Linked DNA regions of Anolis sagrei. The protein of the gene in region 4 interacts with the protein of the main gene of each other region in a pairwise test. Links are inferred from orthologs where the notes say so. Each region holds a gene or a part of one and is shown on either strand. Other genes may lie near its edges. The genes, in order: lipopolysaccharide-induced tumor necrosis factor-alpha factor-like, PLEKHB2, ENTREP1 and STAM2.

What was found.
Region 1: the proteins of STAM2 (region 4) and lipopolysaccharide-induced tumor necrosis factor-alpha factor-like interact in a two-hybrid assay, tested with the Homo sapiens proteins (4 studies listed by BioGRID and IntAct). The two-hybrid records come from large-scale screens. The link is inferred for Anolis sagrei from reciprocal best matches to the Homo sapiens genes STAM2 and LITAF.
Region 2: the proteins of STAM2 (region 4) and PLEKHB2 interact in binary tests that used the Homo sapiens proteins (3 or more experiments, as listed by UniProt). The two-hybrid records come from large-scale screens. The link is inferred for Anolis sagrei from reciprocal best matches to the Homo sapiens genes STAM2 and PLEKHB2.
Region 3: the proteins of STAM2 (region 4) and ENTREP1 interact in a two-hybrid assay, tested with the Homo sapiens proteins (2 studies listed by BioGRID and IntAct). The two-hybrid records come from large-scale screens. The link is inferred for Anolis sagrei from reciprocal best matches to the Homo sapiens genes STAM2 and ENTREP1.

The regions. Positions count from the first base shown.
Region 1 is NC_090034.1:20,486,327-20,493,885, reverse strand, and holds the start of lipopolysaccharide-induced tumor necrosis factor-alpha factor-like, read left to right. Parts: upstream 1-4,456; 5' UTR 4,457-4,628; exon of another isoform or gene 4,629-4,660; intron 4,661-5,847; exon of another isoform or gene 5,848-7,559.
Region 2 is NC_090023.1:219,715,181-219,723,152, forward strand, and holds the start of PLEKHB2 (pleckstrin homology domain-containing family B member 2), read left to right. Parts: upstream 1-4,676; 5' UTR 4,677-4,941; intron 4,942-6,864; exon of another isoform or gene 6,865-6,935; intron 6,936-7,972. UniProt on the Homo sapiens protein: Involved in retrograde transport of recycling endosomes.
Region 3 is NC_090022.1:221,872,018-221,880,245, forward strand, and holds the start of ENTREP1 (endosomal transmembrane epsin interactor 1), read left to right. Parts: upstream 1-4,651; 5' UTR 4,652-4,819; coding exon 4,820-5,131; intron 5,132-8,228. UniProt on the Homo sapiens protein: Functions as an activator of the E3 ubiquitin protein ligase ITCH in the ubiquitination of the CXCL12-activated CXCR4 receptor. Thereby, triggers CXCR4 endocytosis and desensitization, negatively regulating the CXCL12/CXCR4 signaling pathway.
Region 4 is NC_090021.1:204,402,188-204,410,286, forward strand, and holds the start of STAM2 (signal transducing adapter molecule 2), read left to right. Parts: upstream 1-4,813; 5' UTR 4,814-4,948; coding exon 4,949-4,988; intron 4,989-8,099.

The DNA.
Region 1 (7,559 bases), on a different chromosome or scaffold from region 4:
CATCTAGTGGTCCACTAAGACTCCTAGATCTCTTTCATGCCTGCCTGCCTATCTATCTTATCCATTAATCCATCCATCCATTATAAAGCCACAATCCATATTACTTCCCTCAATATAGACACTAGACTCCTAGAATTGCATTGGCCTTTTTTTTTGCTGCCGCATCACACTGTTGGCTCTTCCTCAGTTTGTGCCCTCATAAAACTCCTAGATTCCTTACACATGTTTTGAAGCCAGGCACTCCACATCTTATATCTGTGCATTTTGTTTATTTCCACCTTGCATTTCTCCCTGTTGAAATCCATTCCCTTATTTAGAGCCAATTAGCTCTCTAATCTGTTACAAGGATCACTGTGGATCCTGATCCAAACCATATGGGTTATCCCTCCCCCATTGCGTCCTATCTGCACGTGGGAGCGACGCGCCTTCTCTCCCATTGTCCGAGTCACAGATAAAGATGTGGAACATGTCAAATGAGGTCCGGGCGGAAAGGCAACAGGTGTGACTGAGTTTTAATACAAACCTCCTAGTAATAAACAGGGCATTCAGCATTTCACACCTGTAATAAACTGGCGATCCCACCCACCTGCCGGATCAGGGCCAGATTTAGGGCGTGTTGGGGAAAAAAGTTTTATATAGAGTTTGCCTTGGATGCTTCGAGAGACGGAAGCAGAGAGGGAGCAGTTTGTTGCTTTGTGGAGGGCTCAAAGGCAAGGCTATCATTGCAAGGTTATCTGGGGCTGAGACCGTGCACCCTGCCCAAGGGCACTCATTAGGCTTCATGGCCAAAAGGGAGGATTCAAACCCTGGACTCCAGAGCTTTAATCTAACATTCAAAACACTGCGGCACCTTTGCTGGCAGGAAGTTGAAGGGGTGCTGCTTTTCATGAACAACTTGGTATAAGCAAGCAATTTGAGCACTGGAGGACTATTTTCTGAGATCTGGGTTCGCATCCTCACATAGAAACCCACTGGGCCCAAGCCATACTCTCTCAGCCTCAGAGGAAGGCAAAGGGCAAACCTCCTTTGTATAAATCTTGCCAAGAAAAACCAGTGACATGTTTGCTGTAGGGACACTGTAAGTTGGAGACATATACACTTATCAGCAAACTGGAAGGGTCCAAAAGTCCTTTTATCATACGATAAAATGGGTATTGATTATAAGATGCAATCTAGCCTTGTATGCATTTCTTTGTGTTCTGGGGGAGTCCGGAGAGAGGGCTGCGTAGATTTCTATCCAAGAAGGTTGCCAAGATTTTATTATGATGCTGAGAAGGTGCAACTTGCCCAAATTCAAGGCATTCGTTTTTTGGAAATCCTAATAGAAAGAATGCTGGAGGCTGAGAGAGTGTAACCTGTGGAGTTTCAATAGCCAAGTGAGGATTTGAACTTGTGTCTCCTAGAGGCCTAATTCACACAAACCACTGAGCCATTCCAGCTCTCCAAAATAATAGGGGCTGGACCACTCTCACAACCACCATGTCAGACTACACAGAGAAGCCATTGAAATCCACAAACATGTGGACAATTTCAACAGAAAGGAAGAAACCATGAAAATGAACACACTACCAGTATTAAAAAATTCTAAAATTGCAACAGCAAAAACAGCAGAGAGAAAAACAGGCAGGGACATCTAATCACCTTTCAAGAAGAGTTTTGCTCCAGGCACAGTCAGCCCATTGTATGCTAATCAAGGTGGTCAGCTGAAAGATTCACACCCAGCCCAACTTACAAAAGCCCTTTGTCTCACCCTGGTCATTCCACAGATATATAAACCCCCTTTTTCCCAGTCCCAGCAGACCTCACCTCTGAGGATGCTTGCCATAGATGCAGGCGAAACGTCAGGAGAAATGCCTCTAGAACATGGCCATATAGCCCGAAAAAACCCACAAGAACTGAGGATAATAGGGGTTCCTTATCTGGATCAATTCAGAAAGGGGTCTCCCTCTGAGGCTGAGAGGGTGTGGCTGTCCCCATGCCACCCAAAGGATTTCCATGGTTGAGCAGGGATTCGAACCCTGTTATTTCAAATTCCTGATATTATTGGCCTTTGACAAAGTGTTATAATGAATGCATTGAGTACGGAAACTGAATTGGACCAGAACTTGGAAGGTAAGCAATTTATTTCTCAGACAAAACAGGCCCAGCTTAACTACAAGGAGAATGTAACCATTGCCACTGCATTTTCAGTCTTGGCCTGCTTTGAATGCAATCAGGAAAAGCACTGCATTCTGTATCATTGCAAGCACTGCTTCATATGCAGTCAGAAGAAACGCTGCATTATGTAACATTGCAAGCATTGTTTTTTAGGCAGTCAGAAGAAGCACTGCATTATGTATCATTGCAACCACTGCTTTGGATGCAGTCAGGAGAGCCTGGTATTCTGTATCCTTACAACCACTGCTTTGATTGCAGTCAGGAGAAGCCACTGCAAACATGCATCCTTGCAATGATGTATCCTTACAACCATTGTTTTGGATGCAGTCAGGCGAAGCCAATGCATTAATGCAGCGGTTCTCAACCTGGGGGTCGCGACTCCCCAGGGGGTCGTTTGGCCATTTCGGAGGGGTCGCGAGGCCGCCTCCTTCGGCCCCGCCCACAAGGCTGCGAGTCCTCCCTGGGCTCCTTGGCGTCCTCGCCAAATGGCGAGGCCGCGAGGCGGCCGGGGGCTCCTTTGCACGAGCCCTCCCTGGGCTCCCCAGCGGGCTCGCCAAATGGCGAGGCCGCCAAGGAGCCCAGGGAGGGCTTGTGCAGAGGCTGCCTCGGCTCCCTCGCAGCTTCGCCAAATGGCGAGGCCGCGAGGCAGCCGGGGGCTCCTTTGCACGAGCCCTCTCTGGGCTCCTTGGCGCCCGTGGGGGAGTCCAGGGAGGGCTTGTGTGGAGGCTGCCTCAGCTCCCTCGCGGCTTCACCAAATGGCGAGGCCGCGAGGCAGCCGGGGGCTCCTTCACACGAGCCCTCCCTTGATTGTGGGCTGGATTCAGAGTGTACTTTGATTGTAGGTGAACTATAAATCCCAGCAAATGCAACTTCCAAATGTCAAGTCAATGTTCCCCAAACTCCACCAGTGTTCACATTTGGGCATATTGAGTATTCGTGTCAAGTTTGGTCCAGATCCATCATTGTTTGAGTCCACAGTGCTTTTGGAGGTAGGTGAACTACAATTCCAAAACTCAAGGTCCATGCCTGCCAAATCTTTCCAGTATTTTCTGTTGGTCATGGGAGTTCTGTGTGCCACATTTGGTTCGATTTCATCGTTGATGGAGTTCAGAATGCTCTTTGATTGTAGGTGAACTATAAATCCTAGCAACTACAACTCCCAAGTGTCAAGGTCTAATTTCCCCAAAATCTACCAGTGTTCACATTTGGGCAGATTGAGTATTCTTGCCAGGTTTGGTCCAGATCCATCATTGTTTGAGTCCACAGTGCTACAGCTCCAAAACTCAAGGTCAATGTCCACCAAACCCTTCCAGTATTTTCTGTTGGTCAAGGGATATCTGTGTGCCAAGTTTGTTTCAATTACATCGTTGGTGGAGTTCAGAATGCTCTTTGATTGTAGGTTAACGATAAATCCCAACAACGATACTGCTGAGTTGCTGAGCTTGTTGATCAAAAGAGCGCAGGTTCAAATCCAGGAAGTGGCATTAGCTTCCGCTGTCAGCCCCAGCTTCTGCCAACTTAGCAGTTCAAAAACATGCAAATGTGAGTAGATCAATAGGTACTGCTCTGGTGGGAAGGTAACGATGCTCCCTGCAGTTATGCTGGCTACATGACCTTGGAGGTCTCTACGGACAACGCTGGCTCTTTGGCTTAGAAATGGAGATGAGCACCACACCCAAGTCAGACATGACTGGACATAATGTCAGGGGAAAACCTTTACCTACAACACCAAATGACAAAACCAACTCCCCCCCCCCAACCCCACCAGTATTCAAATTTGGGTGTATCAGGTAATTGTGCCAAATTTGGTTGGGGGGTCACCACAACATGAGGAACTGCATTAAGGGGTCACGGCATTAGGAAGGTTGAGAACCACTGCATTAATGTATCCTTGCAACCATTGTTTCGGATACAGTCAGGAGAAGCCACTGCAAACGTGCATCCTTGCAACGATGTACCCTTACAACCATTGTTTCGGATACAATCAGGTGAAGCCACTGCAATCATATATCATTGCAACCATTGCTTCGGATCACTGCAAACATTGCCAAAGTCCTGGCCTGCTTCAGATGCAGTCAAAGCCATAGAAAACACAATTTAGCTGGCCTTGGATCAGTGCCGCAAAACTCTCCAAAACAAAGGTGCTCCTGTTGAGAGGTGCTATCTTGAATGGACACCCAACCAAATGAGCCCTGTCTCATCCAACCCGTTCCCCGGCATTCCTCTTTGGGATGTTTGCGTTTGGAAAGAGGATGGAGTGCTTGGCTAACCGGAGGGTAATTACACAGCTGCTCCATTTCTCCTCCCTTCCGGCCAAACTCCTATCTCTTCCTGCCCCTTTGAGATGGGATAAACCCTCACTCCGGACCTGGGCTCCAAGTCAGCAAGATCTTAGGAATAGATCATGACCCTTCCTTGGACATCAGAGGAGCCAAGAGGCCGATGAAGTGAACAGAGACTCCGGGAAAGAGGTACCAGTTCTATCTGATCCTGGTCCACACAGGTAGGGAAATCATTTCTTCCTAATGTTCAGATGGAATCCCTTTTTCTGCAATTTGAATCCAATACTCTGTTGTGTCCCAGTCTCTGGAGCAGCAGAAAACAAGCCTTGCCCCTTCCTCAACAGGGCATCCTTCCAAATATTTCAACATGACTCTCATATTCTTCTATCCGCCTTCTCCAAGCTAAACATCCTCAGCAATTTAAGCTGTTCCTCATAAGCCTTGGCCATTTTGGTCCTCCTTCCCGCTTGTCCATCTCTTTCTTGAATTGCTTTGCTCAGAACTGGATACAGGGTTATTATTCCAGGTGAGATCCAACCAAGGCAGAAAAGAGTGGGACTCTACACCGCCATTGATGCAGTTTAGGATCACATTGGCCTTGTTAGCATACATCACAAACATAACTATTATCAAGACATAGCCAAGATTACTTCTATCAATTTAGACACTAGACTCCTATTGTTGCAGCCTAGGATCGTATTGGCCTATTTTGCTGCTGCATCACACTGTAGTCTCTCATTCAGTTTCCAGTCTGCTAAGACTCTAGATCATTTTCTCAGACTTAGATATAGTCAATCCATGGTCAATATAACTTCCCTCTGTTTAAACGCTAGACTCCTATTGAAGTAGTCTAGGATCACATTGGCCTTGTTAGCTGCCACATCACACTCTTGTATTATTATTATTATTATTATTATTATCATTATTATTACTACTACTACTACTACTACTACTATTATTAGATACACAAAAAGACTAGTACACAGCAAACAAGATCACTATGCTGGCTTTTGTATTGGATCACACGTCGGACACCACAAGTTTCTAGGACTGTGTGATGTATTGGTTAATAATGCGTGCAGATCCAAGAAGGGGGCCTTTTGCAGCTGACAGGTGGTGGTATTATTATTATTACTATTACTCCTCAATCCCTTTAACTCCTCTATCTGTACACTTCATTGTTATTGCCTACTGAAATTCCGTTTTGTTAGTTCTGGACAATCAGCTCTCTAATCTGTTGAGGTCATTTTGGATCCTGGTCCCATCCTCTAGGTCAGGGGTCCACAAACTTTTTAAACAGAGGGCCAGGTCACAGTCTCTTAAACTGTTGGAGGGCCAGATTATAATTTGAAAAAAAACATGAATGAATTCCTATGCCCACTGCACATGTTATTTGTAGTGCAAAAAAAACCCCCACTTAAAAACAATACAATAATCAAAATGAAGAACTATGTTAACAAATATAAACTTATTAGTATTTCAATGGGAAGTGTGGGCCTGTTTTTGGCTGATCAGATAGGATTGTTGTTATTGTTGTGTGCTTTTAAGTCATTTCAGACTTAGGTTGACCCTGAGCGAGGGCTGGGTGAATGACCTTGGAGGGCCGTATCCGGCCCCTGGGCCTTAGTTTGAGGACCCCTGCTCTAGGTATTTGCTGTCCCTCCCAAATTTGGATCAGCCTGCCTTCTAGTCTGTCATCCAAGCCACTGATAAAGCTTCTGAATAGCCCTTAAAGGCCCAAGACAAGACCCCAAAAGTCACTTCTCTCCAGGAAGAAGGGGGAAGCCATTGGATAGAAATAGCGGGTGAACTAGTTCCCAATCCACCTAACAGTAGCTTTGCTTGTTGCATCATCCCAACTTTCATGCATTTTCCAAGCTTAAAACTATTCCGAAACAGATAAAAAAAGACAGAGGACCAAACAGACATTATGGGATCGGATGGAGAAACTAGCTTCCAGTTGTTTTTGAGCATATGGATGGGTTGGACTATAACTCCCAGAACCCCATTTTGGCCATACTGGATGGGGGATTCTGGGATTTGTAGTCACCCTGTTCCGAATCCAATTTGTAGGTCCAAAACTAGAACCAACCCATCTGGTCAATAGGAAGTAATTAATTTAATTTCTGGATCCATGATATTAAGGACTCAGGCATTGGAGTCATGTAGCCCATCTTCCCAAGGCAGGCATGGCTGTGGATGATGGGACTTTGTATCCCCCAAAACAAGGAGACTCGAAGTGAAACCAAATGGGAAACACATCACTTGGAAGCTGTCCTTTGGCTGCCAAATAGCTGTCATTGTGGGGCAAATGCTCTCTAGCAAGGGAATGGCACATGAATAAACCGCATCATTTAGAAAAAATGTGGACGTTTATAGCGGCCCAAGGAGTGGTCAATTGCCACCTACCTCCACATTCTTTCATCAGGAATGCATGAATGGGGCCAATTTGCATGGGTTGGAGCACCAAGTGGAGGCAAATCAGGCTGGATGAGCAAGCCTTTAGAAAGGCTGCTCAGAATCGAGGCCCGTAATTAGAGGAAGGTATTTCTCTCATTAAAGGCTGATATCACCAACACGTGGGGGCCATGACATCACACCTTTAACCACACTTGCACATTGAGGCCTTGTTTGTCTCCTTTGGGGAGCCATTGCAAAACAAAGGCAAAATACGGAGCTTAGGAAAAGCATGTACAGAGGCTGTCAGGGTTGTTTTTGTGTCTCTGACTTGGTCCAAGGTACAAGTGGATTCATGGTGTGTATAGGTGGGATACAAATTAATATCGTCATCATGCAGTGAAACCAATGTGATTAAGGCAGTATAATATCTTACTATTTTCTTAATTTATAGAAAGCTAGTTGGTCTCACCTTGTAGACTCAGTTGATGCTGAAAAGGAGGAGGGTGGGATATACAATTCTATATTTATATTCATTGTATATCGACTTTTAAGTTTCTCAAGTCAGGAGCAACCTGAGAAACTGCAAGTCGATATACAATGAATAAAGTAATATCTTTTACTGCCCTATTAGCATTGTTTTTATTACTGAGTTGTTTTATGCATTTCTCCCAATCACAGGACTCAAAAGTGGCTAACCATCCTACAAACTGGAACCAATGC
Region 2 (7,972 bases), on a different chromosome or scaffold from region 4:
ACTAAAACACACAAAACAGAGATCAAACAAAGGAAACTTAAAATTCATGTTAAAAGACTATCTGGGTATGCCTGCCAGAAGAGATAGATACTTACATGGTTTCTAAATTCCGTCAGCTCATTTAGCTGTCAGAGTTCTTCTGGCAGGTAGTTCCACAGTCATGGGGCAGCCAATTAAAAGGTCCTCTGGGTAGTAGTTGCTAGTTGGGTTCTGGTTGGTTGGACCAAATGCCCCCAGAAGACCGAAATGTGTTGGGTGGATTGTATGAGAGAAGGTGATCCTTTAGGTAACCTGGACCCAAACTATGTAGAGCTTTAAAGTTCAAAACTAACGCCTCGTACTTTGCCTGGAAATGAAGTGGTAGCCAGTGGGGTGACTTTAGGATAGGTATGCAGGCCCGTAGCCAGGATTTCGTTTCCGGGGAGGCTGAATTTTTTTTCAGGGGGGTTGGGGGGGGGGGCTGAGTCTGAGTGAAAGAGGGTCTAGCCTAGCAAACCTTTTGTATCATTACCCCAATACCCCCATGCATATGGGATATATTGAGTATGGTGATCAGATCATGATATGAATAAACATAACAGTTTAAATAATGCACCAGTAAGGCCTTTTCGCGAACCAACATGAAAATCATGCCTGTAGGTATGATATGCTTATTTCAAGATGTTCCTGTAACCAATCCGGCTATTGTATTTTGGACCAGTTGGAGTTTCCAAACTTGGTACATGAGTAACCCAATGTAAAGTGCATTGCAGAAATCCAGCCTTGAGGTTACCAGTGCATGCACTACTATCTTCAGGTCTTCCAAATCTAGGAAGGGGCGCAGCTGGCATATCCGCCGAAGCTGACAGTAAGCACTCCTGGCCATCGCATTTACCTGGGCTGACATTTGGAGAGACAGATCCAGGAGTACCCCCAAATTGCGATACACAGTCTTTCAGGGGGAGTATAACACCATTCAGAGCTGGCTGACACACCTCTATCCTCAGATGAGGACCCTACCCTTTATAGCAAGCACCTCTGTTTTGTCTGGATTCAGTTTCAATTTGTTTTTCCTCATCAAGCCTATTACCTGATCCAGACATTAATTCAGTGGAGACACACTATCGTTAGCTGAAGCTGTTTTTGAAGGCATGGAGAAATATATTTGGGTGCCATCAACATATTGATAATGCCTTGTCCCATGCTTATGGACGATCACTCCCAGTGGCTTAATGAAGAATTAAAGAGCATTGGGGATAGAATGGCACCTTGGGGGACACCACATAACAGCCCTTTTTTGGAGGAGCAGCTATTCCAAAGCACCACCATCTAGAACCTGCCTGAGAGGTATGACCAGAACTACTGCAGCACAGGGCCTCCAATGCCCAGCCCCTCCAGGTGTTTCAGAAGGATACCATTGTCGATGGTATCGAAGGCTGCTGAGAGGTCTAGAAGCACCAACAGGGACACACTCCCCCTGTTGATGCTGAGACGGAGATCACCCACTAAGGCAACCATCACAGTATCAACTCCGTATCCTGCTCTGAAGATAAGATACAAGGAAAGAGAATTAGAGAATAATAAGGATAAGAATAAATTGCAGCAAGAATTGACTAAATTCCAACAGCAATATGATTTATTACTCACGAATGAGTTAGAACAGAAGATTACATATATTAGACATAAACAAACAAGGAAAACTGTTAGCATGGCAACTAAGAAGGAAGCAGCTAATAGTAAAGGAGTAAAGGAGAAATAATTACATATATGTGACTAATTCAAAAGCAATTTGAAGACTATTATAGAAATCTATATAAAAGCAATTAGATAAAAAGAAGATTGATCTGGATGAAATGAATGTCACTAAGCTCACAGATGAAATGAAAATAGAGCTGGATAAGCAAATTACACAGGAGGAGCTGTTTAAGACTATTGACAATGCCAAAATAAATAAAGCCTCAGATCCAGATGGATTTTCTGCTTGGTATTATAAGTCATACAAGGAAGAACTGGCCCCACTATTTCTTTCTTCAATGAATCAAGTTATGCAGAAAGGAGAAATACCAGATTCATGGGCAGAGGCCACTATATTCCTAAGCAGGATGGAGATATGTAACAAGTTTAAAACTTTAGGCCAACCTTGTTAGTAAATTGTGATATAAACTATTTGCAGAAATTCTAGCAAATACGTTGTGCATAGCATGTTTCCGTCAGATCCAGTGCAGAAGATACAATAACATTGCACCCAGGCAAGAGGAAAAAGAACAGAAACACTTTACTCTTATCAGCAGAGTTAAAACATAAACTTGCAATGTTGCAAACAAAAACAAACAGTGCAACAAACTTACATAGTCCTTGTAAGCAATACAGAATAAGGCTTCTTCATCATCATCCAAATGAGAGAGCAGTAGAAATGGTTGAGTAAAATGCCTGAGCAAAGGCTTCTCAGAGCAAAAACCGAACTGTATTCTAAAACCCATACAGTTATACCCCACTGCGTGTTGACCAAACTTTTAAAAATACTAGAGATGTCAGAGAAAGATCCTAATAGAGATATTGCTCTACTATTTTTGGATGCAGAGAAAGCCTTTGATAATGTCTGCTGGGAATTTATGGGAAAGGTACTATTAGAGCAATATAGAGTTGGTCAGCAATTTAAAAAAGCCAAAGATGTAATTATTCAAAACAGAGAGCTAAATTGTCAATTATTAAACTATATTGAGATACAGAAAGAGACGAGACAAAGTTGTCCCTTGTCACCTTTATTGGTTAGTTGCATGCTAGAAATATTGAACATTAAAATTAGAAAAGAGAGTGGCATCAAATGAGTGAAAATAAAAGGATATGAATTTAAAGTAAAGACATACACGGACGATATGGTATGCATTTTATTTCCAACACATAGGTGCGGGGCAGGAGGGGAAAGATTGGATAGAATATTGCAATATATTAGTTTGGGGAAACATCAGATTTTGTTCATCTTCATGGTTTCCTCCTTTCTGTTGAAATTGTCCACATGCTTGTGGATTTCAATGGCTTCTCTGTGTAGTCTGACATGGTGGTTGTGAGAATGGTCCAGCACTTCTGTGTTCTCAAATAATATGCTGTGTCCAGGTTGGTTCATCAGGTGCTCTGCTATGGCTGATTTCTCTGGTTGGAGTAGTCTGCAGTGCCTTTCATGTTCCTTGATGCGTGCCTGGGCGCTGCGTTTGGTGGTCCCTATGTAGACTTGTCCACAGCTGCATGGTACACGGTAGACTCCTGCAGAGGTGAGAGGATCCCTCTTGTCCTTTGCTGAATGTAGCATTTGTTGGATTTTCTTGGTGGGTCTGTAAGTGGTTTGTATGTTGTGTTTCCTCATCAGTTTCCCTATGCGGTCAGTGGTTCCCTTGATGTATGGCAAGAACACTTTTCCTCTGGGTGGATCTTCATCTTTACTCTCGTGGCTTGTTCTCGGTTTTGCAGCTCTTCTGATGTCTGAGGTGGAGTATCCATTGGCCTGGAGAGCCCAGCTCAGTTCATCTTGGAGGAGGTGGGGTTCGCAGATTCTTTTTGCACGGTCTGCCAAGGCTTTAATTGTGCTTCTTTTTTGACTTGGGTGATGGTTGGAGTTTTTATGTAGATATCTATCTGTGTGTGTGGGTTTTCTGTAAACGGTGTGACCCAATTGTTGATCTGATTTGCGGATGACTAGGACATCTAGAAAAGGCAGTCTTCCTTCCTTTTCTTTTTCCATAGTGAACTGGATGTTTGGGTGGATGCTGTTAAGATGTTCCAGGAACCTGTTGAGTTCTTCTTCTCCATGGCTCCAAATAGTGAAGGTGTCATCCACATATCTGAACCATATAGTGGGCTTTTTGGTTGCTGTTTCAAGGGCTTGTTTTTCAAAGTGTTCCATGTAGAAATTAGCTATGACTGGGCTGAGAGGGCTCCCCATAGCTACTCCTAAATACCAACGACAAACTGATCAGCTTCGATGTGGTATCTCTATTTACCATGGTCCCAGTAGCAGACACCATGGCACTCATCAACCAGAGGTTCCCAGAAGACATCATGGCTCTGTTTCACCATTGCCTCACCACCAGCTACTTTCAGTGGGACAATGAGTTCTATGAACAGAAAGATGGAGTAGCTATGGGGAGCCCTCTCAGCCTGGTCATAGCTAATTTCTACATGGAATTACATATATTAGAAACCAACACTTTCCCATTACTTTATTTTCAAGATCACCAGACTGGGCCTCAGCAACGCGTGCCAGGGAACAGCTAGTTTATTATATTATTAGCCCAGCACAGGAGACAAGGTATTATTGTACCTTATTATTGTATTGCTAATGCTATTATGATTAATAATGGGAACACAATTTTAATAATAGTTGCTCTTAATAATTGACTTGTTTGTTATTTGGCTATTATTTATTGATTATTATGATTCATTGTGAACGATTAGCAATCATTCATAAAACAATAATAATGGCATCAACAACAGTACAGAGATGATGATGATGGCACGTGACCAGTCTGGGGCGGGGGGTGGGGTTGACCGAGGGTGGAGGGGGAGCAGCCTTCCTTCGGGCCGCGAGGATTCCTCCGACCACGTGAGAAGTGACGCGCGTGCTCGGCTCTTTTCGACCCCACCCCCTCGCGGGTGACGTAGCCTCGCTCACGGCCTCGAGAGAAAGGAGGGGGAAATCTGCGCGCGCAGCCGTCGCCTCATCCTTTGCTCCCAACCCGACGGGAGGATGTGACGTCGCCGGGCCGCTAGGTTGCTGCGCAGTTCTCCAGAGCAGGCAGAAGGAAGGAAGGTGTGAGGGAGGCGGCGAGGCTCGTTCTTGTGGTGTTGGTTGTGGCAGCACTCTCCCCTTCTTCTCCTCCTCCTCCTGCCGCGGGCCTTCGAGAGCCAGAGCTCGACAGCCGGGCCAGGGTCGCCGCCCTCGCCGCGACGACGACCAGCCGCAGTTCGGTGAGGGAGACAGGGACCAAAGGAGGGAGGGCCTCTCTCTGTGCTTCAGGACAGGCCAGTCAAGGATGTCAGGCCCAGCCAAGGCCTTGTTTCCCGGTGTCCGCCGTTTGGCGTCCCCCGCCTTCCTCTTTTGGGGGGGGAGAACCCGTTGTATTATTAATAAACTAGCCGTCCCCTGCCACGCGTTGCTGTGGCCCAGTCTGGTGATCTGGAAAATAAAGTAATGAGAAAGTGTTGGTTTCTAATATATGTAATTTTTTTATGCTTGTGTTGATGTAGAGATTGTCTGGTTGGCCTACTCTGGAGCATGCAAATAGCATGTTTGTCCTTCAACAAAACACCTCTCAACAAAAGATTCCCCCAGGCTCAGCCAGGCCTTCAAATGCTAATGAAGGTGGTCAGTTGAAACATTCACACCTAGCTCCAGCAGAGAAGAGCTCTTTGCCCCACCCCAGTCATTCCACAGATATATAAGCCCATTTTCCTAATTCCAACAGACCTCACTACCTCTGAGGATGCTTGCCATAGATGCAGGCGAAACGTCAGGAGAAAATGCCTCTAGAACATGGCCATATAGCCCGAAAAACCCCACAAGAACCTAGTGATTCCAGCCATGAAAGCCTTCGACAATACATTGAGCATTGTCCTTGTTTAGGGGTCCCTTTCAAATCTATGATACTATATCTGTGTTTGTGTGAGTCATATATCTCTATATCTATGACTAGATGGCTCTTGGCCAGGAGGGCTTTGATTATGTTTTCTTGCACTGGAGAAGGGAGTTGGACTGGATGGCCTTAAGAATTTTCTGTTAATCATGGGGGTTCTGTGTGGGAAGTTTGCCCCAATTCTCTCATTGGTGGGGTTCAGAATACTCTTTGATTGTAGGTGAACTATAAATCCCAGCAACTACAACTCCCAAATGAGAAAATCAATTTTTGAGTGATGGTCACTCATTGGGTTGTTAGGCGTCTTCTGTCCAAATTTGGTGTCAATTCATCCAGTGGTTTTTGAGTTATATTAATCCCACAAACAAACATTACATTTTTATTTATATAGATAACGTGTTAACTGAAGTATTTTTCTTAAGGCTACAAGCCTTAAGAATTAATTAATAATTGTTTGTTTATTTCTCAATAAGTAACTATTAACTGAGGTAGGCTTGTCAAGCTCATGTCCCTTGATCCAGGAGTCACAAATGAATATTTCTCTTGTTATTAATAAATTACTGTTAAATTAGTTATACTCATGATTGTTTAATATTAATCAGTTAATACATATAATAAATATACCTCAGTTAAAATTAGATACATTCCTGGGCATTTTTTTTTGTAGCAAAAATATTGTGGGCTCTTGGTATCTTGTTAAATTATTTATATTTACTAATGTCTGTTTATTAATTAGTGAATACATATAATAAATATACCTCAGTTAAAACTAAGTAGATGCATTTCTGGGCCCTTGATATCTTGCTGGGGTTTGTTTCAAGGACTCCTTGTGAATACCAAAAATGTGTGGATGCTCAAGTCCTGTTGTATATAGTGGCATAGTAAAATTGTGTTCTTTATATAAAAACAAAAGTCAAGAGGGGACTGAATTTTTTCAAGCCATAGGTGGTTGAATCCTACCGGATGTTAGGAATTGTGGAAATTGAAGTCCAAAACACCTGGAGGGCCCAAGTTTGCCCATGTCTGGAGTAGACGAACCCTAGGTGACCCTGTTCAGTCTAACGTAGTGTAACTCTTGAAGTGCAGTGCAAGTTAAATCAGGATCCCCGCTTGGTGGACTCTCCTGCCTTTTTAAAGAGCTGCGTGAGAAGCAGAAATTAAGCTGATGAAAGGATTCTGGCTGCAGGGCCACCGGGTATGTCAGTCTAGACACAAGAGGTCCTGATGACAGATAAACCTGAGTTGACCATCATGGAACTACTGGGATGTTTTGTTCTGAATGATGGAGTTACTATTGTTGGTAATTCAATAATTGTAGTGCAGTAATAGGTACGTAATATGTGCAATGACAACTGGAATGGCCTCAGATTACGATTGTGGATGGTGTGGTTTTTAATAGTGAATGTAATGTTTTTAAATGTTTTAATGTTGATTAATTTTAATTTTTAATTTAAATATTCATTTGAATTGTATGTTGTTTTAGTCCTCTTTGTGGTTGAGAAAGGCAGAGTATAAATAAAATACTTTGCTACTGTGGGGAAGATAAAGTTCGTGTATGTATGCTGAGAGAAAGGCATATATAAGTCCAATTAAAAATGCATTTGTTGGACAGCCGTATATTGGATTGCTGCCAAAATATGAGCAGAATATGACGGGAAGGGAAGGTCTTTCTCCGTACTTGTCTTCTGCAACAAACCCTAAAGGTACCAGATCCTTTCAGATCTTGGAAGTGAAGCAAGGTCAGGTCTAGTTAGTATTTGCATGAGGAACCACTAATGTATATCGGAGGCTGTATTTCAGAGGAAGGAAACTGGAAAAAACACTTCTGAGTATCCCCTGCTTAATAAAATCCAGTGAAATGCCTGGGTTTACCATAAGGTGACTTCTAGGCAAATACACAATCAGTAATGGAATGGGGTGGCTTAATGCTAAGAATCATTGCTGGGTGTAAGAAGTTAGCGGTTGGAAAACCCAAGTGAATTGTGATAGTTGGTACTTCTGTGGATGAAATCATCATTCCTTCTCAGGGTAAGTGAAAGAGCAGATTGTTGTTTGCTTTTCGCTGTAAAGTCACTGAGGTGACTAGTTTTACTGCCATGGCTCAATGCTGTGGAAGTTTTGCAATATCTTGTTGCTGTTGAGCTATGGTAGTTAAAGTAGTATCAGCCTGTACCAGTTCTACAGTGTAGATTCACCCAAAGCTAGTTTAGAATTCATGACAGTAAAAAGTAAAACTGTTTTGAAATTCATGGGGTTACCATAAGTTGAAGGCACATAAAAGAAAGTGAGTACTGTTTGGGATGGGAGATGGGGGTGTGGTTATTTGGGATGTAGTATGATCCAGAAAAAAATTCAGAAGGGGAAGA
Region 3 (8,228 bases), on a different chromosome or scaffold from region 4:
CCTGTGAATTTGATGCCAGCAGTTTTTGGCTTTTTTTATAGTTCCACCTCATATGGTGGTAGGCGCCTTCATGAACTTCTCACTTGCAACATGTGTTATTTATGGAATTTAAAATCCACAACATACACATATTAGAATTGTAAACATAAATCAATTACAATAACTTCATGCACTTAAAAACTGTTAAAATAACATAGCTCAACAACATTTTCTTCTTCGTGCTGGATTTTTGGGGTTGTTTTTTTCATTTTCTGGGGTTATTTGGGGCAGTAATTCAGAAAACTGCATTGGATGGACCACTACGTTTCTTTGATATAGTTATAATGATTTCTTATGATTGAGTAGATGAAGACTAGTATATGGTATATGTTCTGTATCTCAAAAACAAGAGTCAATAGGAGAAAACTAGTGTCACTTTTGGAATCGGCATGTCAAATATACACAGAAACCTCTATCTCGAAGGAAAGGATGTCTAGACAAGACAATTAAATCGTGCCTTTGTTTTTATTATTATTTAATTGAATTATGTTTGTCTGTTTTAGATGTGTCCTTTTACTTTGTCCTTTTTGATGATGTGTTTTTTGGGGGTTTTTTTTTGGTGAAACGTAATAAAAACATTATAAAAACATATACATAGAAACACTTTTAACACTGGAGGTACCAAAATGTGTGTTGGTCAGTGTTATGTATGAAATTTAAAATCCACAACATACAAATATGAAAACAGAGTTAACACAAGTCAATTAAAATCACTTCCAGTAGTAAAAGGTTGTTAAAATAATCACTCTTTAAGACAGTGTATAGGTGCTCCCCTTGTCTCAATAATCCTCAAGTTCAAAAGTGACCAAACAAGTGAGGGTTGCAAGACAGGAAAGCCTAAATCAGGCATAGGCAAACTTCAGCTCACCAGGTGTTTTGGACTTCAACTCTTACTATTTCAAAGAGCCAGTAGGCTGTTAGGAATTGTGGGAGTTGAAGTCCAAAACACCTGGTGGGCCAAAGTTTGCCCATGCCTGGCCTAAACTCTTTGCCCAGCCTTCAGCCCCCAGTTAGAGAATGGTGGTCAATTGGTGCCAATTCATTAAGTCTTTGACAACAAGCTCCCAATTTCCTCTTTCCTGAGGCCTTAGAAAGGCGACATATTATCCTGGTGGCATCTGCATCCTCCGCTCCCCTGCCTCTCGGGAAGAGTTATTTTAAAACTTTTAGCCTCACACCAGGATAACAGCAACAGGGAAAAGGCGGGGGATAAGTGACAGGGAACACAAATGTTTCAGCTGGTATTGCTTTAAAAGTGAGGCCCCCGCTCTTCTCTGTTCAGGAGAGGGTTGGCAGTTGGAGAGGATTTTGGTTTACATGTTGGGAGAGAGGACCGTTGGCTCCAAAGAAATGTTTTGCCCCTAAATAGAGGCGACTTGGCAGCTCTTGAATAATGCTGAAGAGTTTTCCCAACGGCTGGCTGGGAGTGAAAACGTGGAGAGGATTTGGTTGGCACAGTTTGGACTTCCGTTATCCAAAATGCTTGGGACCAGATGTGATTTGGATCTGCAAGTATTTGTGTATACACAAAACCTTGAAAGGTGACCAAAGATGGATTTACCCTGGAAAACAAGGCATTATATGGGTCTCCACTGACCATATAATGCCTTACTTGGCAGTGTACATCAGGGATCCTCACACTTTTGAAGCAGAGGGCCAGTTCATGATCCCCTTGACTGTTCAAGGGTCGGACTATAGTTTGCACAAAAAAAAGGAAAAAAGAATTAATTCTACACACACTGCACATATCTTGTTAAAAATGAATTCTACACACACTGCACATATCTTATTTGTGGTGCAAAAGAAAAACCCATAAAATAGCAATAAATATCTAAAATGAAGAATAATTTTAACCCCCAGTGGGTTAAACTGTTGAGCTGCTAAACTTGTTGACCAAAAGATCACAGGTTCAAATCCAGGGAGCGACGTGAGCTTCTGCTTTCAGCCCCAGCTTCTGCCAACCTAACAGTTTGAAAACATGCAAATGTGAGTAGATCAATAGGTACCGCTCCGGTGGGAAGGTAACTGTGCTCCATGCAGTCATGCCGGTCACATGACCTTGAAGGTGTCTACAGACAACATCGGCTCTTCGGCTTAGAAATGGAGATGAGCACCAACCCCCAGAGTCGGACACGACGACTTAATATCAGGGGAAAACCTTTGCCTTTAAACGTACCTGTATTTCAATGGGAGAGTGGTGTTCCGTCTTCCAGGAGCTTGGTTTGCATTGCCCTTTAGTTGCTTGAAATAGCATCCCTTTACATTTCCCCCAGGGTTGCTACAGTCTTAGCAGCACCCTAATGGTCAAACATTAACAGAGGCTGGAAGCAAGCCTGCAAGACTTTTGCAGCTATTGGCTTAAAAAAGTATCTCCTTGGTCCAGAGACTGCCCTTTTTCCTGGGGGTAAGATCTCCATTTTGGAGAAGCTCTCCTGCCTTCTTCAGTATAGAAAAAGCCTCAGATGTGCTGGTGGCCAAGCTAGGCAGCTCGGACAGGCCATCGTGAGTACGGTTACCCTCTTGCCTTAGAAACTGGTGCTGTGCTCAGATAGGGGAAGACCTGCTCTTTCTAAAAGATAGCAGCTCAGCGCTGGGGCAGAGAATATTTCAGGATTTCTCTGCCATTGGGAGAGGCTCCATTACTTCATCCTCAAGCTAACCTTGGGCTTGGATAGGGGAAGACCTGCTCTTTCTAAAAGATAGCAGCTCAGGGTTAGGGTAAAAGATCCCAGGATTTTTCTACCCTTGGAGAAAGTTAACTCGGCAGCTGAAGGAAAAAAGAAAGAAAGAACATCTATATAATTTCACCAGTTGACCGTTTGTGTTTGTAACTTCATCAAGCTGTGCCAAGTCTGTCAAGGACTTTGAGAAATAAATGTTCTGTTTGATCTTCAAATCTGGACTGGCCTCAGTTGCTGGGAATTCTGAGCTTCTAAGTAAGGCACTCGCAGTTCACCCGGATAAAGAGAGAAGCACATCTTAGTTTTAACTTTGTATTGTCCGGGTGTGATGGCACAAGTGGATTTAGTTTTGGCTGATGAGAGAGTTTACTTGTCCGAACGTATCTCCCACTACGATCCACCTAGGGCCCTAAGATCATCTGAGGAGACCCTGCTCATTGTCCCCCCACTGTCACAATCGTGTTTGGCGGGGACAAGGGACAGGGCCTTTTCAGTGGTGCCCCCCCCCCCCGGGCTGTGGAACTCCCTCCCGAGTGAAATTAGATCTGACCCTCTTGACCTTCTGGAGAAAAATAAAGTCCTGGCTATAGGATCAGGCCTTTGGAGAATAGGCTGACCTACTGAGGTGTTGACTTATTTAGAACTGATGGACTGCCCTTGGATAATGATTTAAATCAGTGACCACTGACTATTTGTTGTCTGTTTTTATATTCATAGAATCATAGAATCAAAGAATTGGAAGAGACCTCATGGGCCATCCAGTCCAACCCCCTGCCAAGAAGCAGGAATATTGCATTCAAATCACCCCTCCATCCAGCCTCTGTTTAAAAGCTTCCAAAGAAGGAGCCTCCACCACACTCCAGGGCAGAGAGTTCCACTGCTGAACGGCTCTCAGTCAGGAAGTTCTTCCTCGTGTTCAGATGGAATCTCCTCTCTTGTAGTTTGAAGCCATTGTTCCGCATCCTGTCAGATGATATTAAGCAAAACACAAATCTTCTTATAGGACTGAAACACGGAGGCCACGTCTACACATTGGTGTAGATCAGTGGTTGCCAACCTGTGGTCCGCGGACCACCAGTGGTCCCCGAGAACTAAAATATGGTCCACGGCCTCACTGTTACTACACCATTGCAACAAGAGCAACTTGTCTCATGAAACCCTCTTATAGTGACAAGGCAGCAGGGATGTTGGGAGGGAAGAGGCAAAGAAGGAGCCTCCACCACACTCTGGGGCAGAGAGTTCCACTGCTGAACGGCCCTCACTGTCAGGAAGTTCTTCCTCATGTTTAGATGGAATCTTCTCTCTTGTAGTTTGAAGCCATTGTTCCGCGTCCTAGTCTCCAGGGAAGCAGAAAACAAGCTTGCTCCCTCCTCCCTGTGGCTTCCTCTCACTTGGCTATCATATCTCCTCTCAGCCTTCTCTTCTTCAGGCTAAACATGCCCAGCTCCTTAAGCTGCTCCTCATAGGGCTTGTTCTCCAGACCCTTGATCATTTTAGTCACCCTCCTCTGGACACATTCCATATTGTTTTTATATTGTTTATACTGTTTTATATTGTTATTATTACATTATTGTTAATTGGATATTTATATTTTGATGTGGGCGTCATGGGGTGCCACTTTGTCACCCCTGCGGAGGTTGAGAAAGGACGGGATAGAAAAGCCCTAAATCAATAATCAATCAAGTCGTTCAATTCAAGAAGTATTGCAGAAAGGTCATGCCACTGTCCACTTCCAAAAGGGTGAGTGTAGATGGGGCCTGGGAAGGAGGAGGAGGAGAAGCAGGAGTTTTCAAAGTTGGGAGAGTTTAACCTTTGGAGGAGGAGTTGGCGGCTTTGGAGACAAAAGCCTCGCGAGAAACAAAACAACTACGAGGCGAAGGCTGAGTGTCCAGCCGAGATATGTGTGTGTGTGTGTGTTGTGTTGACTAGGGAAAACTGGGCGGGAGGAGCAGCGAGGGGCTTGCAAGAGGAGGAGGAGGAGAAAGCAGAGGAGGAGGCGGAGCTGCCCCTCCGCCTCCCTCGCAAATCCTTCAGCAGCAGAAGCAGCCTCCGCCGCCGCCGCCGCCTGTGGAGCCGAGCTGGCCTTCCCGCTCTGCCTCATGTCCCTGCCGGTGGTGCTGCCGGGCTCCTGCTGCCCGGTGTCCCGGCTGTCGGCGCTGGCGCCCTCCTGCTCCGCGGAGGCTCCTCCGCGCGGGCCCCGCTCCGCCCGGCCCCTCAGGCCTGCCCGCCGCTGCGCCCCCGGGGCCCCCTCTTCCTCGGGGCTGCTGCTCCTCCCGGCGCGGCCCCTGCTCTCCCTGGGGCTCCTCCAGCTCATGCTGGGCGGCTGCATGGTGGCGCTCAGCTTCGGGGCGCTCTCGCTCAGCAGCTCCCCGCAAGTCAAGAACTCCTGCCCCTTCTGGGCCGGCGCCTCGGTGAGTGCACTGCCTGCGCCCCCACGCCTTGCCTGCGCCCCCCGGGCTCTCATTTACAGCGCCATCGCATCAGAACAAAGTCTGTGTGTATGTATATCTCCATATGCAGTCTAGATCAGGCATGGGCAAACTTCAGCCCTCCCTCCAGGTGTTTTGGACTTCAACTCCCACAATTCCTAACAGCCTACCGGCTGCATATGGAGATATACTCTCATAAAGATACATGCATACAGGGTGGGGCAGAAAGTCACAAAGAGGTTCCAATATTTCATAACTCCTTTGTTTTTCTTGTTTACTATAATAATAATAATAATAATAATAATAATAAGCCATAACTTTATTTACAGTGTATGCATAGGATCTATACACATACACACATACACAAGGTGGGCCAGAGAAGTCACAAAGCAGTTTCAATATTTCATAACTTTTTTTGTTGTTTACTATAAATAATAATAATAAGCTATAACTTTATATACAGTGTATGTATAGGACCTATATATACATATATTTATGCACACACACAAGTTAGGCCAAAGAAGTCACAAAGCGGTTTCAGTAGTTAATAACGCCTTTATTTGTTTTTTTTTGTTTACCATAACTTTGTATACAGTATATATATAGGATCTATACACACATATATTTATGCACACACACATAAACAAGGTGGGCCAAAGAAGTTACAAAGGGGTTTCGATAACTCCTTTTGTTTGTTGTTTTCATTTACTATAACTTTATATATATATATATATATATATATATATATATATACACACACACACTATATATATATATATATATATATATATATATATATATATATATATGTTGTGTATATAGGACCTACATACACATATACACACATATATAAGGTGGGCTAAAGAAGTCACAAAGAGGTTTCAATATTTCATAACTCATTTATTTGTTTTTTTTGTTTACTATAACTTCATATACAGTGTGCATATGACCTATATACATATACAAGGTGGACTAAAGTCACAAAGGGGTTTCAGTATTTAATAACTCTTTTATTTGTTTTTTGTTTTTGTTTACTATAACTTTATATACAGTGTATGCAAAGGACCTATATACATAAACACACACACACACACAAGGTGGACTAAAGAAGTCACAAGGTGGACTAAAGAAGTTTACTATAACTTTATATACAGTGCATGCATAGGACCTATACACATACACACATCTATACACACACACACACAAGGTGGACCAAAGAAGTCACAAAGAGATTTTAATACTTAATAGCTTTATTATTTGTTGTTTTTCAACAAGATAGGTTCTGTAGATTTGTTCTTAAGTTGAATTTGTATGTAAGTCAGAACTGGTATATTTTTAAACTGTAACTCCACACACACACACACACACATATATATATCCACATCTATCTATCTATCTGTCTATATCCATATCCATATTCTATTCTATTTGATTTGTCCTTAGGGCTTCACGCAGATCTTCCATTTGCCAGAATATACAATTTTGTGCTTTTCTTTTCTATTTCTGGCTAAATAGTGTAACTAATGGTTTGTCTCATCAACTACAAGGTTGGCTCAACGGCCACTTGTGGTCTCTTGTTATCCAGTTCATTAGTGTCCCTCAGTTTGGCTAGCATAGGGAAGGGTTAACAGCCTCGTGGTGTTTTGTTTTGTTTTGTTTTAAGCCCCTGTTCAGAAGATTTCACCTCTCTTTCTGTCCCTGTGATCATTGGATTTTTAAAAATGTAACTTGTTGTTGAAACAAGGATTGGTGATAAAACTTCAATGGAGACCCCTTTCCCCCATGATAACATTTCTGGAGTGAATCTCCTTTCCGAGGAGTAGATTTTTCTCATTTTTGTTATCTCACCCCCGTTCTTAACTATTAGTTGTTAGTAAGTCAGATGTTTGTAACTCAGGAATTGCCAGTAACTCCTATTTTTAAAATGTTATATGCAATATATGGTATATAGGAGATAAATTTGCACCACGTGTGAAAAATTAAATCTTGTCAGTAGTGTTTGGTATTGTAACATCATATTATAAAGTATACATAGAACTCCTGTATATATAGGATGTCCCAAAAAAGTCACAAAGGGGTTTTTGTATTTAATAACTCCTATTTGTTTTGTTTTTAATTTATGGTACCATAGCATCATATACACAGTATTGGAAATAGTAACCTTCTGCAATCCTCCTATACTAGTTATTTTATCATTCAGATTGCTTACTATATTGTATATGTGTGTATTGCAATATGTATATTGTTTGAAGTTGTGGGAGGGGCTGCAGATCATGTGATCAGATCTGGGACTATTCAGACTGAGACTCCATTTTAGAAGTCAGTGTTCGATCAGTATTGTATTGTTTAGTCAGTGTTGATTAATCATTAAGCATTAGACATAAGACAGAGAAAAAACTGCAACAGAATGCCTTAGAGAACTTGCTGTTTAAACTTTCAACTGATAAGCAATGTACCTGTATGCTGAATATATGAAATTTGTAAGTAAACCAACTATGTTACTTTTAACAAAGACTACTTATTTTCGTCTCTTGAGAACATGATGTAAAATCAAAGATATATTATTGGCACAGCGGATTAAACCGCTGAGCTGCTGAACTTACTGACTGAAAGGTTGGCAGTGCGAATTCAGGAGGCAGGGTAACTTAGAATCATAGAATCAAAGAGTTGGAAGAGACCTCATGGGCCATCCAGTCCAACCCCCTGCCAAGAAGCAGGAATATTGCATTCAAATCACCCCTGACAAATGGCCATCCAGCCTCTGCTTAAAAGCTTCCAAAGAAGGAGCCTCCACCACACTCCGGGGCAGAGAGTTCCACTGCTGAACGGCTCTCACAGTCAGGAAGTTCTTCCTAATGTTCAGATGGAATCTCCTCTCTTGTAGTTTGAAGCCATTGTTCCGCGTCCTAGTCTCCAAGGAAGCAGAAAACAAGCTTGCTCCCTCCTCCCTGTGGCTTCCTCTCACATATTTATACATGGCTATCATATCTCCTCTCAGCCTTCTCTTCTTCAGGCTAAACATGCCCAGTTCCCTGGCAGAAGTTAAGCCCAGCTTCTGCCAACCTAACAGTTTGAAAAC
Region 4 (8,099 bases):
AGGGATACAGTTCCTTCAGAGTATGGTGAGTTTGCAGTTGATGTCACCAAGTTTTGTATCAAGCCAGAAACTTTGGGAAACAGCTAGTGTGAAAGACACAACTACTGAGTAATAGTATTCTAAACCACTTTTCTGTCTGAAATTGGATAGTGCAAAAATTACTCGCCACACTTTGGCAGCTGCATCTACAAATGCACCATCTTTCCCATAAAACCTAACTTATGGAGATTCTGGATAACAAGCAATAGTCTTATGGCTAATATGAAGGTTTTCTGCATATATTCTCCTGCCTTTACATTTCCCACACAAATTAAAAATGAATTTCAACTGATGGTAGTGAAAAATTTGTCAGGTGCCAGGCTTTTATTTAAATTTGATTAGTAACATCAGATTTGGATTTTGGTTCCTATTACCTAGGGAAAGGTCTTCTTGCGTTAACTGTAGCTTTCTAATTGCTGAACATCTTTTTTAAAAGTGTGTCAAAAAGTATAATTGTTCTATACATTCTTCTGTAGATCCTTGTACATATCTCTTATACAAATGTACTTATCACTTCAATTTCTTCCATAAATCTATAGGCTGCTGCTTGTTCTTTTATTTCCAGTCTCTTTAAAATTTCTGACGACGAGACAAAGTGAACAAACTTATGTCAATGAAGTCGGCTTATACAGTATCAACACTGCATCATAACATTGTAAACATCAATTTGCTTCAGAAAAGATAGTCCAGAAACCGTGCTTTATTCTTTGATGTCTGAAAATAGTTGTTCAAAGGTAATAGGTCAGCTTTCCAAATACAAATTTGGGAAACAGGAACACTGATGAGCTCTGCAGCAAGGTCTGATAAATTAACAGTGGGCTCTACAGAAGATGCTTCAGCTGTACTCCATAAGAAGAAAAATCAGCTTGCTTAGCAAGCCTTGCAAACACAGATTTGCAAACACATGTTTGGTTTTTATACTTATTTCATATCCCTGTATACCCAGGATCGTGTAAAAATTTCTCAGGAAAAAAAGGGGCCATAAGTGGAAGTTTTTAGAAGCCCTGCTGTAGAACACATCAGACATTTTAAGACTGAAAACCTGGTAACTTCACCATCACATCAAGCGGTTGGCTGTAAGAGTAGTCAGATATCTAGATGGCCATGAATATGAATGCATAGACCATGAAACTGTTGGCCAGCACTACTACACTGCTGAAAGCATTGATAACAGTGTGCTGTGGAAACAGGAAAAAAACTGACTTTAGCGGTTGTGAGAATGAAGAGATAGCATCAGAAGTCATGTGTCAGAAGAAATTGCTCTTTTGCTGGCTCCTGAACTTCATGGGAGTGGTAGGACAGTTTTCCTTGGCAATAGAGACAGCTTTCCCTGCCATCCCCCCCATTGCTGCGCCACATCCCTCCAGAAAGTGCCTGACATCAGCATAGCAGACTGTTAAGGCACCAAAAGGATTCTGGCCATAATCTCACAAAGGCCATGGCTATTCGCATCATATGCCAAAGTGAGCAGGAATTTGATGTTTTCTGCATTTTGCACGTGCTGTGTTTTCAGCTGCTCTTGTAATGCAATAGTCATCTGACCCAGACCTGGTCACACCAGCAGACAAGGACAACTGGTTTGCAAATGTATTTGTCAGATTAAGGCATTTTTATAGCACTGCACTGAGTGGAATTCTCTGCATTTCCATTCTACATTCTTTACAACATTTGGCACTGCCAATGCAGCTAAATACCAATGTTGGGATTGATTCCTGAACAACATACACTCTGTTTATGGCATGAATATAAAATGCTCTATGTTTGATGTGAGTTGTGATCAACTCTTACATAATTAAGCAAAGTTTTCTCGCCTCCTCAGTTTTTCAATAATCTAATGTTGGATCTGGGATCAAGATTTCAAACTTCCTTCAATGCAGGCTTGTATCTAAGCAAAGAGACCAAGGGTACATCTAGATTTAATGTAGTTAGACACCACTGTAACTGCCATGGCTCAATGCTATGTGGTATATAGCTTGGCGAGGCACCAGCACTCTTTGGCAGAGAAGGCTCAAGATCTTGTAAAACGACAGCTCCCAGGATCCCATAGCATTGAGCCATGGCAGTTAAAAGTGGTACCCAGTTGCATTAGTTCTACAGTGTAGATTTACACAACTCCAAAAGTCTAATGCAGTGTACACACACCTCAAAATAACTTTTCAAGTCAAAGCCTTCTTCCAGAACCTCAGACCTCCACTCCAGCTCTTCAGTGTAAAACAGCAATAGAATCTACATGGGGTTGCCTTTAAAGACTGGAAGCTCCAACTAGTCCAATGGATGGCAGCCAGGTTGCTCGCTGGAGCGACATGCAGACAGCATACAACCCCTCTGCTATGCCACTGGTTGCCAATCTGCTACCAAGCACAATTCCAAGTGTGGGCTTTAGCCTATAAAGCCTTGAAAGGTTCTGGCTCAGCTTACCTATTTGAACGTATCCTCCTGTTATGAACCACTGTGAAGTCTAAGATCAACAGGAGAGGCCCTGCTCTCGGTTCCACCATCCTTGGAAACGTGACTGGTGGACACGAGAGACAGGGCCTTCTCAGTGGTGGCCCCTTGCCTGTGGAACTCTCTACCCAGTGACATTAGATTGGCCCTCTCCCTCTTGTCCTTTAGAATGAAACTCAAAACTTGGCTATGGGACCAAGCGTTCGAACAGTAGAGGCAGAAATTTAGAATGAGACCCAGTTTGTGTGAATGACAATGGACAGACCTGGACTATGATTTCAAACCTGTGTGATTTAAACAATGTTTTAGTAATTTTAAAGCAGTAATGAATTGTTTTAATTGCTTTTATCATTTATTACTGTTGTTTGCATTGAATGAATGCCTCTTGTGAAGCCGCTTTGAGTCCCCCTCCGGGGGATGAGAACAACGGGATACAAATATGCGAAATAAATAAATAATCTCTAACTGCCTGACTTGGGAAGACAGTCCTGATTAGTCCCATTGTCTTGACTTCTTCAACTGCTTTTAAAATGTCCTGAGGCCCTTCCACACAGCCCTACATCCCAGAATATCAAGGTAGAAAATTCCGCTTTATCTGAGTGTGGACTCAGATAACCCAGTTCAAAGCAGATATTGTGGGATTTTCTGCCTTGATATTCTGGGATGTAGGGCTGCGTAGAAAGGCATCTTGATTTTATTAAAATGTTGTATGACCGCAATATATCCCGGTTTTCACCATCTCCAAAGTTAGAGGTATGTGGACTGAAAGGGCAGAATCACAATAGGGTAATTGCATGGGAAACAATCCTACAGTCGGTATATTCTTGGGGGGGGGGGGCAATTATTCTTACTTATATATTAGAAAGTAAAGGTAAAGGTTTCCCCTGACATTACGTCTAGTCGTGTCCGACCTTGGGGGGTGGTGCTCATCTTCATTTCTAAGCCGAAGAGCCAGCGTTGTCCAAAGACACTTCCAAGGTCATGTGGGCAGCATGACTGCATGGAGCGCTGTTACCTTCCCACATAAGCGGTACCTATTGATCTACTCACATTTGCATGTTTTCAAATTGCTAGGTTGGCAGAAGCTGGGGCTGACAGTGGGAGCTCACACTGCTCCTTGGATTCGAACCTCTGACCTTTTGGTGAACAAGTTTAGGAGCTCAGCGGTTTAACTCGCTGCGCCACTAGGAGGCCCACTTAGCTATTACACATACTTATCAATTTAGGTTTCAGCTTCCCACCATATGGCTGTTAGAGACCCCAGCATAAAAGAAAAACTTATTCTGAATTCTATTGGATTTGCTTAAAGTGCATCTAGACTGGAGAATGAATGCAGTTCAACATCACTTGAACTGCCATGGCTCAATGCTATGGAATTTTAGAATTTGTAGTTTGGCAGAGGTTAAAGACCTTGTCAAACTACAACTCCCATGATTCTATAGCACTGAGCCATGGCAGTTAAAGTGTTGGCAAACTGCATTCATCTACAGTACAGATTTGCACAGCCCCAAAGTCTCATTTTTGTAGTTTGCTGATGCACCAACACTTTTGGGCAGAGGAGGTTAAAGACCTTGTAAAACTACAACTCCCATGATTGTATGGCACTGAGCCACGACAGTTACAAGTGCTGGCAAATAGTATAGATTTGCACAACCCCCAAAGTGTCATCTTGTTCTGAACTCCCCTCCCCTTCTCCTCACTGGAACTTGAATGCCTTGACTGCTTAAAACAGCAGGCCTTACTATGGTCCCTTCCACACAGCCCTATAACCCAGGATATCAAGGCAGAAAATCCCACAGTATCTGCTTTGAACTGGGATATATGGCAGTGTACTGCCATATATCCCAGTTCAAAGCAGATACTGCGGGATTTTCTGCCTTGATATCCTGGGTTATAGGGCTGTGTGGAAGAGCCCTATATTACCAATGGATTGCAAATGCAGTCAGCTGCCTTGCTACTCTTTTAACTTCCAGGCAAATAGTGAAGCGCTCTCAACAATGTTTATGTCTACACGCCTCTATTTCTTAGGACCCTGAAGCCAGGTGTCTATGTATTGCCTGTCTCCGCAGAACGCCAATCAATTAAGTGTTCTTCTCCACTCTTCTATCTCTATGCGCCTCTCCTTCCTAGGACCCCGGTGCTAGGTGTCTATTGTATTGCCTGCCTCCTTAGCCGACATTTTCCCTTAGTGTCGAGGGAAACGTAAAAGGGGGGACGCGATGTTCAAGCCGTATTCCTCCTCCTCCTCCTCCGACCTTCGCGTCTCCTCAGGCGCGCGCTGGACGGCAATGAAGCGAGAGGGCGGGTCCTTCGCGGAGGGCGGAAGAGGAAGTTGGGGAGAGGAGAGGAGAGGGGCGGGGCTGAGTGGAGGAGCAGGGGCTGGTGGGCTGCGTCTCTAGTCGCTCCTTCCTTCCTCCCTTCCTTCAGCCGGGTCTCTTCGCCTCCCCTTCCCTCTGCCGCCGCCATGCCGCTCTTCGCCCCCAACCCCTTCGAGCAGGATGTGGGTGAGTCGAGGGCCACGGAAGGGCCCCAGGGAAGAAAGCCAAGCAGGGCCTGGCCTGGTTAGCACTTGGGAGGGAGGCCACTGCCAGGTCTCTTTCAAGGGAAGGAACTGCCAAGGCCCCTTCTTGTTTAAGGGCCCTTCCACACAGCCCTATATCCCAGAATATCAGAGTGTGGACTCAAGGCCCTTCCACACAGCCCTATATCCCAGAATATCAAGGCAGAAAATCTCACAATACCTGCTTTAAACTAGGTTATCTAATCCAATTCAAAGCAGATATCTAATCCAATTCAAAGGCTGGTCCCCTTTGGGGCGAAGGGAAGACAAAGTGTCAGGCTAGCAAAGACTTCTCTATGCCGACAGTGACTCAAGGGGCCCATCCACACAGCCCTATACCCCAGAATATCCCACAACATCAGAGTGTGAACTCAAGGCCCTTCCACACAGCCCTATGTCCCAGAATATCAAGGCAGAAAACCCCACCATATCTGAGTGTGGACTTGGATAACCAAGGGCCCTTCCACACAGTCCTATGTCCCAGAATATCAGCTTTGAGCTAGATTATCAAATCCAATTCAAAGCAAATAATGTGGGATTTTATTCAGCTGTGTAGAAGGGGCCTAAGAAGCTCCTATGGAGTTCTTGGGGCCACTCGGCTGGCAGGTGACTTGAAGGCACTTCACACAAAAAGGCTTTGGGGCAAAGGGAAGACAAAGTGTCAGCCTAGCAAAGACTTCTCTATGCCGACAGTGACTCAAGGGGCCCTTCCACACAGCCCTATATCCCACAATATCTGCGTGTGGACTCAGGGCCCTTCCACACAGTCCTATGTCCCAGAATATCAAGGCCGAAAACACCACAATATCTGCTTTGAGGTGGGTTATCTAATCCAGTTCAAAGCAGATAATGTGGGATTTTATTAGGTAGAAGGGACCTAAGGAGTCCTTGAGGCCATTCATCTGGCAGGTGATTTGAAGGCACCTCAAACACAAAGGCTGGTCCTCTTTGGGGCAAAGGGCAAAGGGAAGATGAAGTGTCAGGAGAGCAAAGACTTCTCTAATCCCACAGTGACTAGACTGTTGTGAGCCAAAACCCCCACAATAACAGCTTAGAACTGGGTTACCTGACTCCACACTGCCATATATCCCAGCTCAAAGCAGATATTGTGGGGTTTTCTGACTTGATATTCTGGGTTATATAGCTGTGTGGAAGGGCCCTGGGATTTTATTCAGCCATGTGGAAGGGGCCTGGCGCATCTACATTGTAAGATTAATGCACAGCAATACCACTTTTAACTGCCATGACTCAGGACCCTTCTACACTGCCATATAATCCAGATTATCAAAGCAGACAATCCACATTATCTGCTTTGAACCGGATTATCTCAGTTTACATCCAGTTCAAAGCAGATAACCTGGATTTTATATGGTAGTATAGAAGGAGTCTCTGTGCTGGAGGATCATAGGAGTTGTGGTTTTACAAGGCTTCATCTGCTAAAAGGTGTAAGTGCCTCATTAGGCCACAGATTCCTTGATTCCATAGGATCACACTACAGAAGCCTAAAGACCCTTCTACACAGCCATATAACCCAGTTCAAAGCAGATAATGTGAGATTTTATACAGCTGTGTGGAAGGGACCATAGGCCATATCATCCAGAATATTAAGGCAGAATAACCCACAATATTTGCTTTGAACTGGAATATCTGAGGGCCCTTCCAGACAGGCCCTATATCCCAGAATCCCATTTTCTGCTTCAAACTGGATTATATGAGTTCACACTGTCTGGGATAAACAGAAAACCTGGAATCATATGGAAGGGCCCTGAGTCCACGCTGTCAGATAATGTGGGATTTTATTCAGCTGTGTGGAAGGAGCCAAAGTGCTGTCAAACTGCATTAATTCTACATTTCAGAAGCACCACTTGTAAGGTCCCTCTTACACTAGATATGACCAGTGGTTTGTATGTGTTTTAATGATGAATGTTTTAAGTTTTAACTTTAATCGTTTTAACTGTTTTAACTGTTGTGGTTTGTGGATTTTGAACATTTTAAATATTGTTGTTGTATGGCTTTGAGTTCCAATCTGGGGGGAAAGTGGGACATTAGTAATAGTAGTAGTAACCAGGGTTCCTTGGCATGACTCAGGGGATGCTGTGCCAATATCCAGCCACACAATTCCTGAGTCATTGGGGCAAAGAGAGAGTTTCCTGGTGAATGGGCCCCCAAGTGTCTCAATCGCGATAAAAGCAGGATATAAGTAATTATAATCCCCACCTCCATTCAGATATTTTGCACTGGCCAAAAAGGAGGTCACTCATTTTCTTGGGGTTGTGGCTGTGTATCATTTCAGACCATATTCCCAGAATGCAGACCATATTACCATAGCACAGAGTTGTTTCTATTGGCATGGGTTTGGGTTGTTGTGTTTTGGTTGGCGGTTTGGGAGGAAATGACTTTCTGATTAAGAGATTATTGTTCCGGAAATACTGTACTCTATATTCCTGAAACTGGGTCACAACTATTTCATGTTGTTTCTTCCAACTTATAAATATTTGGCCCGTTTCCCATGCGCAACATGGAAATGGGTCTCTTCATCTCTAGAATTTCTACTATCTTTGTGAAATGTTCTGCTGGCTGGGAGCTACCCAAGGGCAGTTCTTTCTCAGCTGTCAAATGTAGAACTGAACCTGAGAGCTAATGATTTGCCCAAGAGTAATTCAAGGGTGAGTCAGGTTTTTAGCCTGACTCCTGCTCTGGTTGTTTGTCAGCTGGACTGTTATCTCTTGTGTACTCAAGCAACCACAAAGCAGAACTATACTTCAAAGTAAGCGTCTTATGCTGGTCTTGCATTCACTGTATGATACACATGTATAAAAGAAGTGTTATGCCTTTGTCAGTCCAAAGCTGACCTGAACTTTCCACTATGACATTATTACATTAAAAACCAAGCAGAATAGGATTTTTCCTCCTTGCAGAAATGGCCTTATAAGTATTGTAATCTCTGCCACTTCCTTTGCTCACCTGCGGCATGTGACAGGTTATGTACTTTCAAGTATTTTCACTCTGAGTGATTTAAGGCTATGTTGGCACACACCAAGTCCTTGAATTGGCT